Linked DNA regions of Neurospora crassa OR74A. The protein of the gene in region 2 interacts with the protein of the main gene of each other region in a pairwise test. Links are inferred from orthologs where the notes say so. Each region holds a gene or a part of one and is shown on either strand. Other genes may lie near its edges.

Region 1 (7,752 bases), on a different chromosome or scaffold from region 2:
TTTAATCGTACCAGATCCAGACAATCCGTGGAGAATGATCATAACCAGCCGAATAATTCTTTCACCGCTCTTCATGCGTTAAGTTCGTTCGAGATCAACTAGGTTGCCTTTCCAGTCGCCAATGGGTATGATTCTCGACGTCGCCGAAGATAATTTCAAAGGATGATGATGAATGCTGTCACACCAGTTCTCCCGACCAGCTTATACGTAGATACAGTACAGTCCAGTACTGGTTCGTTTGTGAGTTCGAGACCTCGGTCATCACTTTGGTCAAACAGGGCTTTATTTTCGGGACTCGATGTTCAGGTAACATTAACCGTACTCCGTGCGTCTTTGGGTGATATACGGCATCGTAAGCAGGTGAAGCTGTCATTCATTCCACCTGGAGATTGAAGCACCTTCCTCTTTCACCCTGAGCCGCCTATGGTTCAATGATCTTCCCCGCTCGTGTAGAAAGCTTTTCAATGTATCACAAGGACACCTGTAGCCTCTGGTAGGTCTGCACTCATCATCCAACTCTGTAAACGGTGCCGAATGTGGGTTGAGGATGCAGGATTGCCTCCTCTGCAACTCGGATCCATTCCCAGAAGGAACTCATAGTCTCCTGACGGTGATATGTCGGCAATGAAGGTCGGACTTGGCGGGTTTACATGGTGACCGCCAAGGACGGCCGTCCCTATGATCTGGAATCCATTTTCCGTGGACAGTGCTCTACCTCCCCATCAACTTGCGGCTCTCGAATAGAACCGGGGTCTTATTACCACCTCAAGTAAGAAGACAAGAAGATATGGTGTGGGGAGGAACCAGTGCCACCAGAATAACGGAGCTTAAAGGTGTTGCCTGGTTTGTGTAATATGTTGATGTGGTAAGAAAGGACAAATCGCATATATCTTGTGTTTGCGAACCGATTGTGAGGACAAGAAATAAATACGCTGGTTTAGTAAGTCTACGTATCTGCAAATCAGACCATAACATCAAGTACATGGAGGCACCAGAACTGGTAAATCCGAAGGTACTTGGGCGAACGTGTAGGCACGAACCGAGAACATCTAGTCCGCATCAGTAGGATCCCTACGTACCGCCAAGCGTCAGTAAGTCAGCGCACCACTCGAGGTTTGGAATGAGGGGAAATCTTACCAATCAGTAACCAACTTCTCATCCAACCCATCCAGTTTCTCCATATCCTCCTCGGCCAACTCAAACCTACCCACATCCGCATTCTCTACCAACCTCTCCTTCTTGGTACTTTTCGGCAGCGTCACGAACCCATGCTGCACCGACCACCTAACCAACACCTGCGCGGGCGTGACCCCGTACTTCTTTGCCACCGCTGTCAAGACGGGATGCTTCATGCGCATCCCTCTCGCTAGCGGCGCGTACGCCTCGATGACAATACCATACTTCTCGCACGCGGCCCTGATCTCCGGCTGCGTGTTGAATGGATGGCATTCAATCTGGTTCACGAGAGGCTTGATTTTAAAAGGTGCTGACATGACCTCGTCGAGATGCTTGACGCCGTAGTTCGAGACGCCCGCCATCTTGACCTCGCCCGCGAGTACCGCATCTTCGACCGCTTTCCAGCTGGTCAACCGGGCTTCGCGGCCGCCAAGCGGGCTGTGCAGGAGGAACAGGTCAATGTAGCCAAGTCCAGAAGCCTTCACTGACTTGGAGATCGAAGCGCGAACAGCGTCGTAATTGGTGCTGTTGTCGCGCAGCTTGCTGGTGAAATGAACGTCTTTGCGGGTGAGGCCCGCGGTGTTTTCGGGGGAGGACAGGAAGGAGAGGATGGCTTGGCCGGCTTCGCGTTCGTTGTAGTACCATTGGGCGCTGTCGAAGCCGCGGTAGCCGGCACCGAGGGCCCAGCGGACCGCGCGTGTGGTCTCGGGGCCGGACATCATGTAGAGGCCGAGTTGGATTTGGGGAATGGAGAGGCCATTAGAGAGCTTGGTGGGTGTTAATGAGTTGCTAAGCGAACCTCATGGGGCTTGTGAGGTTGGAGATGAGGAGAGTTTCAGCATGTCGAATCGTACCTTGACTCTGCGGCTCAACATGTCTGTCACGGTTTCAGGCATTTTTGACTCTTTTGTTCGGCGAATGTGTTCAGAAAGTTGGGTAGGTGTTGTCTGCCCTGTGAGGTGAAAATGAGCATACTTATTGTCGGGTTGATGTTGGAGTTAATCATCAAAGTCCCCACTCTTCCGGCGGACGATGACAACATCGCCGGATATATTTCGGTTTTGTTAATTACCGTATCAGTTGACCATTGCGCGCAATTCCTTGCCTTGCCTTGTATTGTAGCGACCATTGTTACGTCAGAAAGCTGTCATGCAACTCCACAATGCGAAATAAACCCCGGTAGGGGCTAAGCGTGTTGTGATCGCTTACTGAACTGTACGCTAGGTATTAGACTGACAAAAAAAGGTTCGTTGTTGATATCACAACCATAGTATCTCAAGATCAAGTGATACCTGGAATATTCCAAGTCTTGTGAATTTCTTGTTCGCATGCTAGCATTAACACCTAGATATGTTCTCCAATCTGTAAAGCGTCCTTGTCGTATGGTCAGCAAGATGTATACAAGGAGGAGCCGGGATTGTGGAAGGCTACCGTACCTTAAGGCCGACATGCCCCTTTCCTCCCACTTGAATTCTGTCCTGTTGAAGCCACCCTTTGTGACCTAATCAATGACGGACGCGACCTGCCCCTTCGCATTTTGACCAATGTGCACCTGAAACACCCCGCGCTAGCCTCTTAGGAGATAAGGTCGGCAACATTCATGGGCATCTCATCAATCTGGGTCGAGTAGTACACTGTATCTCCCGTTAGCAAACGAAGGCGCCGAGGTTAGATTGCCCAAAACTTACACTCGATATCACGCAAGATGCGGACATCCTCGCTAGTAACGAAGTTGATGGCGACACCCTTGCGACCGAATCTACCTGAACGACCGATGCGATGAATGTAGTTTTCACGGTTGCTGGGAAGATCATAGTTGATAACCAAGCTGACCTGCTGAACATCGATACCGCGGGCCCACACATCGGTCGAGATCAGCACTCTGCTATTGCCCTGTCTGAAATCCTGCATAATGCTGTCTCTCTCCTTTTGGGGCATATCGCCGTGCATGCTGCTGACAGTGAAGTTGGCTTCGCGCATCTTATCGGTCAACCAGTCGACCTTCCGGCGGGTGTTGCAGAAAATAACGGCTTGTGTAATAGTCAGAGTGTCGTAGAGATCGCAAAGAGTGTCGAACTTCCAGTCCTCCTTCTCCACAGCAATAAAATACTGCTTCAAACCCTCGAGGGTCAACTCGTCACGCTTGACCAAGATACGAACAGGGTCGGTCATGAACTTGGTGGTCATGTCGAGCACATCATAAGGGAGGGTGGCAGAGACGACGACGACTTGTGTGGCAGGCGGAAGATAGCGGTACACATCGTAGATCTGCTCGCGGAAACCCTGGTTGAGGAGCTCATCGGCTTCATCGAGAACCAGCATCTTGATGTGTCTGGTGCGGAGATGACGGCGGCGAATCATGTCGGCAACACGACCAGGAGTGCCAGAGACAATGTGTTGACCATAGTCGAGCTTGCGAATATCCTCGCCAACGTTGGTGCCACCAATGCAAGCATGGCATTGGACGTTCATGTAATCTCCCAAAGCCATCACAACGCTCTGAATCTGGGTCGCAAGTTCGCGGGTCGGGGAAAGGACGAGGGCCTGGGTCTCGCGCACGGCGGTGTCGATGACCTGAAGCATAGAGATCGAGAAAGTGGCTGTTTTACCGGTACCGGACTGGGCCTGGGCGATGGTATCGCGACCCTTGCAGATCTGAACGATGGCGCGGGACTGGACAGCAGAGGGGGACTCATATCCGTAGGCGTAGATGCCGCGAAGGAGACTCTCTGTTTTGAGAACCAGTTAGTTTCAATCCAATTCACTAAGCCACAGCAACCATGAAATACATGCGATGCGACAAGACTTACCCTTCAAGGACATCGACTCGAAAGTCGGATGAACCGTTACCTCCTTGGAGGTGGAGAACTGAATCTTTTCATCGGCCTTGCGATCGATTCCGCCGTCAGCCATGGTGGGCGATTCTGTCGATGGATCGGGTATGTTTCTGAGGTGTGTCAGGGCCGAGGACGCGATGTTGTGGGTGCGGATGTTGACGATGCGGTTCGACCGGAGTGTTGACTTCGTTATTGGAAATTATTTGCACCCGAGACAAAAACAGTCCACTGTACCGAAAGCGCGACAGTGATTGACGATGGATGCGATGTCGACGTGTGGCGTGCACTGGAGTGGAGCTTTCCCGTTGTCAAAAAAAGTTGCCAAGATGACAAGCCTTCAGGTCGGCAGAATGTCGGCCAACCTTATTTAATGGAACGACGGGGGATCTGTGACAGGGCAGTTGGTGGATTTCGCTAAGGACTTGCCGGGGAGTTCTTTGCCTGCCGCGACGTGTTTCTCTGCTGTTCTTTCTGGACTTCGTACACGGAAGCAACTGGTGGCGCCGAAAAAGCACGTTTCAACAACCTCTCTTCTAGAAATCATCCTAGTTTTCCAATTCGCAATTCTGCACCCCGACACGACAAGTCCGGCTCTTCTACGCGCATTTTCACTTCTTCTTGAATAGGGGAATTCGCGGGTGTCACATTGGTCAACATGTTGATAGAAGAGCAGAGATACATTCACGAGGATCTCGAACGCCTCGAGCAGGGTATCGCGGACCGTTTGCGCGACGAGCCAAAACAGGCATGTTTCCTCCACGCGAAGTATCTCTCAAGACCTTCTGTGCTGACACATTCTTAGATTCATGAACGTCTTAATCGTGACCATGAGATATCCCAACTCCTCGATCAGATTCAACACCAGTCCCGTGAGCTTCTTCCCCTATACGAGGACAAGACTGGAGTGCGCTCCAAGGAAATCCAGCAGATTGGCAGTGGTGACCCCTTCGAGGAATTCTACAAACAAGTAGCCACTATCAAGGAACACCACTCGCGGTACCCAAATGAGCAAGCCGAGAACTCGGAAAACTGGTACCGGCCGCGGAAGCATGGCGACGATCAGCCATTTTTGGTGGAAAGCATGTTCTCGGGCGAAGAGGCATACGGCCGTTTCTTCGATTTGCACGCCAGCCACGAATCCTACCTCAACCTTCCCAATGTGAAGCGACTCCCGTATATGCAGTATCTTGAAGTTTTTGACAACTTCCAACCCGGTTATGGTGGAGTCAAGCGGGCCGACAAGTTGACCGATCAATATTTCAAGTACCTCGGCGAGTTGATGGAGTATCTGGAATCCTTCATTCGACGTACGCGACCACTCGAAAATCTCGAAAAGGTGTTTGGTGGCTGGGACAAGGAATTCGATTCGGCTTGGGAAAAGGACGAAATTGAAGGCTGGCGCAAGGAGAAACTGGCGGCCAACGGCTCTGCGACAGACCGCACTCTGAGCAGCGCTGACGCGGTTTGGTGCGAGGCATGCGAGAAGGAGTTCAAGAACGAAAACGTTTACAAGAACCATCTTACCGGCAGGAAGCACATCAAGGCCGCTGAGGTGTTGGCGGCGATTCACGGAGAGTCGGCCAACGGTACATCAAACGGCACGGTTGCCCCGCTAGCGCATCGCCTCAAGGAACGGGCGGTCGCTGAGAGGGAGTACCGCATCAAGAAGCTCGCCAGCGCTATGAAGACGGAGCGGGACGACACAAGAGTGAACGTTGAACGTAGGCAAGGCATGACGGAGCGTGAGCGGCAACAAGAGTTGGAGAATCTCTACAACACCACGTTCAGAAGGCAGGCTAAGGAGGCTGAGGAAGACGAGGATGATGGCGGAGATGATAAGATTTACAATCCGCTCAAGCTACCGCTGGCTTGGGACGGAAAGCCGATTCCCTTCTGGCTCTACAGGTTGCATGGTCTGGGTCAAGAGTTTCCCTGCGAGATCTGTGGCAACTTTGTCTACCGCGGCCGGCGTGCTTTTGACAAGCACTTCAACGAAACAAATCACATCACCAACCTGAAGCGTCTGGGTATCACAAACACACATCTGTTCCGAGACATCACGTCTATAGAGGAGGCGGTGAGGCTTTGGAACAAGATCCAAGGTGACTCGAGAAAGACCAACGTGGATGAGGGCTCGATCGTGCAGATGGAGGACGCTGAGGGTAATGTCATGCCTGAGAAGGTATATCTTGATCTGCAGAAGCAGGGTCTGCTTTGAGAGGTTTTAAGAGGATGGATGAGCAAGGTCAAAACACCCCTCTGAGACATTAACATAATACCCCAAAGTCCTCCCCGTCCAAAACAGAACTATGAATTCGGACTACTACATAAACCAATACATAGACAGCAAGATTGTTCGACATTTCATCCTGTAGACTCAACAGAGCAGCCAAGGGCTTAGAAAGCTTGGGCCCACCAAAGTGGGGTATGGCGAAGTCAAGGGCGTGAAATAATTGGGCAGCCATTCCGGGTACTGCGGCCATGAATAAACAACATCTTGTAAACAAAGACGGCAACTTCCACTTCTTCACTGTCACCAATTTTCATCACGTATAAACTTGGTTACCCTTTGCCTTTTGCACCTCGAAAATACCACAATCGCCCAATGGGTGCAATCAACGAATGTTCGGTACTTCTTGGCGACTGTCCTGACTGACGCGACACTCGGTTCACATCTAATTCATTATCAAGCACATCGTCCACCGGGAAATTCCCAAAAGAAACAAGGTCTTGACTGCAAATGACAACAAGCCAAACGTCACGACAACCTCACCTATAGAAAACATTTCCAATTCCCTCCCAATAGGGGAAAACAGAAACGATGTCTACCACCACCACCCAAATCCAACCCAAACCCATCCCCGCCCTCTACACAGTCTACATCCTCCGCTCCCAGCCCCGACACGCTTCCCTCTACATCGGCTCCACGCCTCACCCACCCCGGCGCCTCTCACAACACAACGGGCTCGCCAAGGGTGGCGCCTATCGCACTTCGAAAATATCTCTTCGGCCATGGAACATGGTCTGTCTGGTCTCCGGTTTTCCGAGCATGATTGCCGCGCTGAAATTTGAATGGGCGCTGAATAACCCACACAAGTCGCTGCATATCCCTGCCGAAAAAAGGGCCGAGGCAGTGAAGGGACTGGGGAGGAGGAAGACGGGACACCTGAAAAGGCCGAGGAAGAGTTTGGTGGGGGTGATGGAGGCTTTGAGGATGTTGGTGGGGGTGAGAAGCTTTGGGAGGTGGCCTTTGAGGGTGCATTTCTTTGAGGAGGATGTTTGGAGGGTCTGGGAGAGAGGTGGTTGGAAGGCTAAGAGTGGCGGTGGAGGGGTGGGAGAGCTGGGAGACTTGAAGGTAGAGGTGGTTACGGACTTTGGCAGTCCGACGGCGCCACAAGGGGCGGGCGTGATTGGGATGGGGGAAGAAGCTGAGAATGACCCGCACGATGACGACGACGGCGACGACGCGCAAGATGAGAACAAACATGGGATCTATGCTTTACCGCTCGATTACGCGCCGATAAAAGACTATGTGGCCAAGAGTCAGGAGATTTGGGAGTTTGAGAGGCAGGGGAGCTGTGTGGTGTGTAAGGAAGCTATGGTGGCGGGAAGGGGGTTATATGCGATCTGCCCGAATACAAGCTGTGAGGCTGTAGGACACCTTGACTGTTGGAGCCGGTGTCTCCTGAAGCAAGAAACAAGGAGGATGAAGATCGATGAAGGGGATGAGATACTTCCA
Region 2 (7,797 bases):
AGACTCGGTCGCATAGGTCCTCCTCAACCTGGGAGAAACGACGACAGGGAGCCTGTATGTGGTCGTCAGGTCAGCCTCAGTACGCGCATGAGAAAACAGTGTGTCGGGCATCCGCCGGCAACCGGGACAGTGAGCTTACCCCGAGGGCTTGAAGGCGGACCGGACGGCAGCACGGCCTATTAATCTTTGGGACAGCATGGTGAAAGTATGTGCTGAATGGAAAAACCAGAAATGGAAACAGGGAAAATTCGAAGGAACGAGCGCACTGCAGAGAGATGCCCGGGGAAGCAGGGAATGCGATTCGATGGTGAGACGTCGAAAGTGTGTACTGAACTGCAAAACGCCGCGGGAGAGACAATTGTTGGGATTCGAGGCGGAAGCTATTCACGGCAAGCGAAAAATGTCCAGTCCCACTTGTTCGGGTTGCCAGCCCGTCAGAGGCTCACATCGCTCAAAGGGCACCCGCTTTCCACCGTGCCCGTCCCCAAGCTGGCCCGCTCGAGACAGCGCAGAGCGGAGTAGGTAGAGGTAGGTACGAACGGAGCGGAGTAGGAACACCACTACCTAGGTAGGTAGTAGGTACCTCTAATCTCGCGTACGCTACACTAAATAGGTAGGTAGGTACTGCCTGATCGTGTTAGTAGTGTAGAGGTAGTGTGCTACAGGAAGTAAAAGTACTATGATGCCAGTGTTAGGCGGGACGGGCAGCGCGCTCTTCGCCGTCTTACTTTACTGTCGCTGCTGCCCTGACTGCTTCGTCGAAGAAACCCGTCCCCAAATACGTACGGTACTAGGTACGCTCCATTGCGTCCTGTGATTGGTCAAGACGAACTTGGCGTGCAGCAGCTGACTCCAAAATTTTGACATCTCTGCACTCCCGCTATGTATTGTAGCCATTTTTCTGACAGCTTAGGTTGTGTTTGACATTCATCTTGCTCCTTGGCGCGATCCCCTCTTTGCTCCCCTCTTTACTCCGCCCGTCAACGCCAAATAACCCCAGCTTGCCCAGCTGCCGAATTGGAGAAGCATAACCTGTCCCTAACCCGTCTTAGAGGTTAGTTGTTTGTCGAACGACATGACACATGGCAGGCAATTCATCTCAAACCATCTGCCTCCTCTTCATGTCCACAATCAAGAGTCCCGCCCGACCCTCATGAAACCCTGTCCCTTCGTTGCAAGACGAAATGACATCATTGAGTGCTATTCACAGACCACTATATTTCCGGGCTCCCGCACACTCGAGTCGGTTGCTCCCTGGATCCCTAGTAGCAAATCGCCCTTCCTGACAACAAGTTCCCCAACTTAAAGCTACCCCCAACTTTTCCAGTCCCGCCGTCAACGCTAATATCTACAAAGTAGGTAACTACATTCGAGCGAGAATGCTTGGGTTAGTTCCATGAACTTGTCATGATATTGGTCAATGGCCTTTTGTATAGACCCCGGCACACTTGTATCCCTGATCATTATGTTGCTATTCCCGAAGATATCCGATCCATATACAGGTATCCAACAAAGCAAAATTATTCCACCAAGCCTTCGGCGGCGAGCAGCGCATGCTCCAAGGCCGCCATGGCCGTCTTGCAACCCTCCTTGACGAGCTTGGTGTTGGCCGCCCCTCCCGCGAGATCCGACTTCCGGACCACCTTCTTGATGAACCATTGCAGGCCTCTGGCAAGCTCGGGGACCCCTTCCACAGCCACAAACACCGAAGTAATCGTCTCATCCCGATCCTTGTCGCCGCCTTTTCCGGCTTCAAGAAGCACAGTAATCAGCAGGATCTCCACTAGCGCCCGCGTCTTGGTTTGTAGATAAGGCAAATTGAGGCATTTCAGAATTGCCAATCCTAGCGATCCACCTGCCACCATGGCCCCAAACAGTTTTGCAATGTTGACAAGCCGCCGCATGTCCATCGCATCTACATCCTCCTCATCCTCCGCGTCATCGCCAAAAACTGACTCTCCGAGACGCCTGAATAGCTTCCAGAGCGCGTCTTGGAACGACCACCGGATTTTGCGATCCCCGCAAAGCTTCTTGGCCACCAAGGTGTAGTATGGGTTGTAGACCTGCTCTGCGCCGGCACACTGGATGACCACGTATGGAATCTCTCTCTGTCGCTCCTTGTTCAGGCGCAACTTGAGGATGCGGTAGTAGGCATCTTCGTAGTCCGTGGCGGACATTATCGACACAAAGATGGACCGGCGCACGTCCGTGTTCATCTGGTTTTCTCTGGCAAGTTCTCCGAGGTCAGGCATGTCCTCGACATCCTCCAAGACAAAGCTTTCGTCGTCCGAGTCAACGCTATCCTGTATGACACCGTCCTGGGTCAATGGCTTCTTGTCACTGTCCTTATCTCTGCCTGCCCAGCTAGCGCCTACAAGCCACCATTTGCCCTTCTTGTCGGCATCGCGTATATCGGCAAGGGTCATTCGCAAGGGCTCGGCCGTCTTGATGGTTTTCAAGGTGCCCAAAAGCTTCTTCATCTTGGTTGTGTGCTCCGTGAGAACGGCGGAAGCGCCTAAACCCGTCTTCATCTTGTTGTTTTTCAGGTCGTTGATGGTCTCAATCATGAATTTAGTTCTGACGCTGAGGTTCTTCTCTCCGATCTTGGCAACAGCCGGGCGGATAAGGGTAACAATGTCCTTGACAGACATGGGGTCATCTTGTCGGAGGGCTGGGCCAGCAATGCGCACAATTCTGAGCAAAAGTTCCGCGTTCAGCTCCGAAAGATCACCCAAAAGGATTCGAATGAAGTCGAAGAGCAAGTTAGGGCCCACGAGTTGAAAGTTATAGAGTTCGGATAGGAAAGTGATGAGGTTGGATGTCTGTTTCGGCACGTCTGGCCGCTCCTTTGCAGCCTCTTTGGCCTCTTCATAATGCCTATCAAATCGCTCGATCACTTCTTGAATTAACTGTGCGCCAAAGTCCATGCCAATCACCTTGAAGATACCCGTAGCGAAACCCGCGGTAAGCACGAGCAACGTATCAGGCAGCGTCGTTGGCTCGCACACCTGAATGAGTAGGAGATCGACAATGTTCGACGTAAGATGTTGTCGCGGGTTGTCGCGGTAAAGCTTTTCAAAGTCCATAATGATGGATAAAAGATTAGACTCTGTCATCCTGTTGATGAGACCTTGTGTTTGACGGCGAATGTGGGCCACCAACTCCGCTTCTGAGCCCGCCTCCTGTCGCTTCGATGGTGGCACGTATTTCACTACAGTCCGCCCAGTTGTAGGCGCAACATATGGGTTTTCGCGGACCCGTTCTGGCGGCTTTTGTAGCGTTTCTTCGTCGTTGTCGGATTCGTCGTCGTCGCCGTCGTCCTCGTCGTCGTCCTCGTCGTCGTCCTCGTCAAATCCTCCAAAATCCCCCTCATCCTCGCCCAAGATGCTGTCTTCTTCTCCATCTTCATCAGAATCGCCTTCGACCATGTCTTCGTCTTGGTCAACGTCGTTGTCTTCGTCCGAGTTCAATCCCTCTAAGAGATCGTCCAAGCCATCGTCCTCTTCGTCCAGTTCGGAGACTTCATTTTCTTCCTCGTCTAGTTCGAATTCCTTCGTCTTCTTGGCCTCTTCCGCTTTCCTCCTTTTCGCCGCAAGCCACTCATCCGCTTCGGACTTCCGCTTCCTTTTCTCGGCTGTTTCGTCGTCTACGCCAGGAAGGCCTTCTAGTAGATCAAGAAGACCATCCTCCTGGAAGGACTTGGGAAGCGATTTGCGTCCCTTGATGCCGAGCTTCTTTTCGAGGTCTGCGATCTCCTTGTCGTCTTGCGCCAATCGTTCCATGACAGTTTTTGAGATTTTGGGCTGCGACTTCGATATGGTTTGTGTTGGGACATCACTTTCCTCTTCATCGTCCACGTCTTCGCCGTCTTTGTCGTCTTCTTCGTCGAGGTCTAGCTCATCGTCCTCGTCCTCGTCAAGATCGATATCGCCCTCGTCATCGAAATCCTCATCATCGTCCTCTTCGAGGGCAACATCTTCATCCTCATCCTCCAATGATCGTTTCTTCCCGTTCTTCAAGATGGGCTTGGGTTCCTTTGCTTCCTTTGACGATGCGGCATCGACCTTCTTCTGTGGTTTTGGGGCTGTAGCGCGCTCGGTATGGTAACTTCTTGTGGACGAGGTGCGGTGAATCCTTTTCTGTGTTCTCTCTGCTTTACGGCGATCCTTTCTAGACTGAAATTGATTCTTGCGACCTCCGTGAGATTGTCCTGCAAGAGTTAGGATTTCGTCGGAGAACCCTGATTGCCAGGCAGGAATGACAATGGCTGTATGGGCGCATGAACGGAGGCACGCTCACCTTCTACGCCGAGCTCCTTCAGGAGGTTGTCAGGCAATTTTGGAGCCTTTATCCTCATGGAGGGTGCCATGTTGTAATATGCGCGTGCGGAGGTGTAGATGTGATTGATTGGCACGACCTCCAAACTTTGCAAGGCTCTCTCGTCCGTCGCTGCATGGAAGAGCGCGGGATCGGGACCTTGCTATCGTTATCAGATAGTTTTTTTGGTTATCGGTCGGTGCAGGGTTCCAGGCATGTCGACTGCGGGGCCAAGAGCGCCAAGAGATGAAGCGGGTCCTCCGCTGCTTGGGACCCCACCCGGCTGGTTTTACGCTGGGGAAGCTCACTCCTACCAGACAGACGGGAGCTGCCCGGCCAACAGCAGTGGGGAAAGCTGCCACTCTCGTTGACTTTCATCAATCATTCTAGGTTGCCTTCACATTCACTCCTCAGCCGAATTGTTGTCTTGCCTTTTGCAAACGAGCATAAGAAGAAGACGAAAAACAACTGGATATCATGGGTCATTTAACTCACGATGAGGTAATGTTATATGTGACTGGCTGCTGTGATCCCGTCCTGAGGAGACCATGCTAATCTGACTTCAACCGACTATGGTATATAGTTCTTCTCCAAGCTCACCAATCTGTTCGAGTATAGGAAGAACCAAGATCACGGAACCATCAACCTAGTACAAAAGAGGCGTACGTGTACCTACACCAACCCAGCGCAGACAGGAAACTTCACACTCGGCTTTGCTATCGTCACGACAATCCTCCCAATTTCCGCTGTTTTCCAAGCTTAAACTCCATCTCCATCCACCCACGATGAGCTAAGTAGAGTGAAGCTCCGTCACCAAAGCTAACCCTCCCACAGTATCCTACAGCACCCCTTCCCAATCCACGGATACCGACCCTCTCACTGACCTCAACCCTGCCACCCCGCTCCCGGTTCTCATCCGCGCCACCAACGCCAAGGGCAAGGACAAGAGGACAGAAAAGGTCAAGCTGTCCACCATTGTCGAGCCAGCCGACCTGGAAACCTTCTACGGGAGGTACGCCGATGTTTGCAAGAAGGGCATGGGGGCATTGAAGCCGAGAGACAGGACCAAGAGGAAAAAGCAGTCGAGGAAGAAGAAGACAGGTCCTGCAGCCGCTGGAGGTCCTGGTGTTGGTGCTGGTGGGACTTCTATGATGGCTATTCCCTGATTGGACTCGAAACAAGCGTTGCAAATTACACCATTGCTGTTTCTGTCTTCTTGTGTGTACATGACCTAACGGAAGGAGGGATCTGTATGAGGGTACCGTATTAAATTTTGTAATATTCCCAAGCTTTGGTGGAATACCCTGGTTCAAGTCAGTGGGTACGCATGGTAAGGAAAGCGTTGGTGAGTAGTACCGCATCATAGCCTTCAATCTGCCACTCTCGGTTACCCTACCTCTCGACTCACCTGCTCGTAGTTGGTATTACCCTTCAAGACGACTAGCGAGAAAGGAAGGGAAGAAAAAAAAGGTGTTGGGAGAGGGGGGGAAGGGGGAATATGAAAAGCTCAGCTGCCTATCTAGCGTGCAGCGCACATCTACTATCTACGTGAGCTACTGGAGTTAATGAAAGGTGCGAACTAAAGGGATCATATGCCCGTTCTGGAGAATGTTCAGTCCTGCCGCAGGAAGTATGCGGCCCTTCGTGGAAATGGAGATGGAAGGGAAAGAGAGGAACATGAAATGAATGAGTGACGGAAGAAGCGTGAGAGAACGACTGCTGTGCCTCAACAGAGAAGCTGTTGAACGAAGGGGAGAGTAAGAGCGAGCCGAATTGATAACGTTCATATGCTTGTTCCAAATCTGCTGGCTGGCCTTCACGATCCTGTCTTGGGTGTGAACTTGATCACCGGGAGAGCGTGTATCTCCAGGTGACTCGATCTAAACGGTCCTATTAGCAAAGTTAACATTTCTCATTTGGTAAAATAACAAGACTGCCCGGGTGGAGCAGCAGCTACCGTACCCTGACGTCAAGCGTAGATATATTTGAGCCGCACTTATGAGCATCAGCTGAAGGGCAACCGGCTCACCCGTTCTCCACTCGATTCACCATTATGAAACACCACGAACACGTCACATCACGTTGGCTTCACCTTGATTGGCTTTGATTCAGGTTACCAAGAGTCGCAGTTCCAATGTTCGACCTTAATCCTAAGGTCAACCGAGATAATTGCATGTTCTCTTCAAGAGTACAGTCTAAAGGTGGGGGGATGTAGGTGAAACAAGATCAACTGTCCATTTTGAGGGTCCGAACCGTAAACAACTTGCTGAAAGAAAGGCCGAAGAGCCAAATGTCAGCCGCAAAAAGAGCAACAAGTTTCAGTGGGATTTACTTGTCCCATGTGCTAGAACTGGGCAAGGTAAAGCATGTCGCAAATTCAACTTCCTCAATCTCCTTCCTCCGACACCATCCTTCACATGCTTGTCATGCGGCCATTCAGACTACTGCCCCATCCCAGGCCAATGCTCATGGCCACCAAATCCCTGACCATAGCCACCTGTCCGTAGACAAGTAGTGCAATTGGAAAGATTGAACCGAGCGCCACATCGAAGACAGGCTTAATCCAGTCATATAATACAACCTCCAAATGGAAAATCCCAAACTATCATAGGAAATCTGTTGCTTCAACCAGTATGACTGACGCGATGGTCGGTAATCAGTTTACATGATCTGATCTTGTGTCAGGCCACCATGGGGGTCGGTATCCATGCTGTCGCCGCCAGCACCAGGGTTAAGGTACTTGACGAAACTCAGACCGAGAGGACGTCCACCATACTGGTAACCCTGGAACTTTTGGATCGCGGTGTCGGCGGTGTCGGCATTGTCGAAGCGAACGACGCCAGAGCCGCGGGAGCGACCGCTGGGCTCATACTGAATCTCAGCCTGCTCTACCTTACCAATAGTAGAGAAGAGCTCGACGAGATCCTCATTGCTGGTCGACCAAGGGAGCTGATGAAGAAGAGGAAAGTCAGAGAAGTCGAATACTCGGGGGTACAAGATGAAGTTTGACTTACGTTCCGGACGTAAATGATCTCAGACCGTTCAGTACCAGAAGTAGCGAAGTCAGTGAACGGGTTGGGCTGAGCGGCCGGCTGGTTGGCATCGAAGCTAGGGGGACCACCGGGAGCTCCTCCGAAGCCGCCACGACCGCCGAAGCCACCTCCAAAGCCACCGCGGCCACCACCGAAGCCGCCGCGACCGAAACCGCCGAAGGCACCACGGCCGCCGCCGAAGCCGCCACGACCGCCGAAACCACCAGGACCCATATTCGCACCGGCAAAGCGATCCTCGCGAACCTCCAGCATACGGCCCTGCCAATCGTAACCATTGAACTGCTGGATGGCGTTGCGAGCATCATCTGGGGTCTCGAAGACAACGATACCCGATCCTTTCGGGCGGCCATCAGGTCCGATATGAACGTCGGCGCGGATAACACCACCATTGCGCGCTATAGCAAGTTAGTATCGCAAGCTGTAGGTC

The links. The genes of interacting proteins can lie anywhere in the genome.
Region 1: the proteins of NCU02406 (region 2) and NCU01234 interact in binary tests that used the Saccharomyces cerevisiae proteins (3 or more experiments, as listed by UniProt). The link is inferred for Neurospora crassa OR74A from reciprocal best matches to the Saccharomyces cerevisiae genes SGD1 and FAL1.

Annotation. Positions count from the first base shown.
Region 1 is NC_026505.1:3,305,811-3,313,562, forward strand, and holds NCU01234 (eukaryotic initiation factor 4A-12), read right to left. Parts: upstream 4,362-7,752; 5' UTR 4,090-4,361; coding exon 3,987-4,089; intron 3,906-3,986; coding exon 2,865-3,905; intron 2,811-2,864; coding exon 2,752-2,810; 3' UTR 2,613-2,751; intron 2,551-2,612; 3' UTR 2,257-2,550; downstream 1-2,256. Other genes in the region: NCU01233 (aldose reductase), read right to left, coding at 1,050-1,071, 1,138-1,943, 2,031-2,072; NCU01235 (splicing factor 3a subunit 3), read left to right, coding at 4,669-4,758, 4,816-6,231; NCU01236 (GIY-YIG catalytic domain-containing protein), read left to right, coding at 6,835-7,752. UniProt on the Saccharomyces cerevisiae protein: ATP-dependent RNA helicase involved in 40S ribosomal subunit biogenesis. Required for the processing and cleavage of 35S pre-rRNA at sites A0, A1, and A2, leading to mature 18S rRNA.
Region 2 is NC_026507.1:2,609,115-2,616,911, forward strand, and holds NCU02406 (nuclear protein), read right to left. Parts: upstream 4,443-7,797; 5' UTR 4,370-4,442; coding exon 4,300-4,369; intron 4,211-4,299; coding exon 1,521-4,210; 3' UTR 1,253-1,520; downstream 1-1,252. Other genes in the region: NCU02407 (dihydrolipoyl dehydrogenase), read right to left, coding at 1-52, 140-198; NCU02405 (hypothetical protein), read left to right, coding at 4,795-4,818, 4,901-4,979, 5,152-5,483; NCU02404 (RNP domain-containing protein), read right to left, coding at 6,979-7,266, 7,332-7,765. UniProt on the Saccharomyces cerevisiae protein: Involved in osmoregulatory glycerol response, probably through its interaction with PLC1 which regulates the expression of GDP1.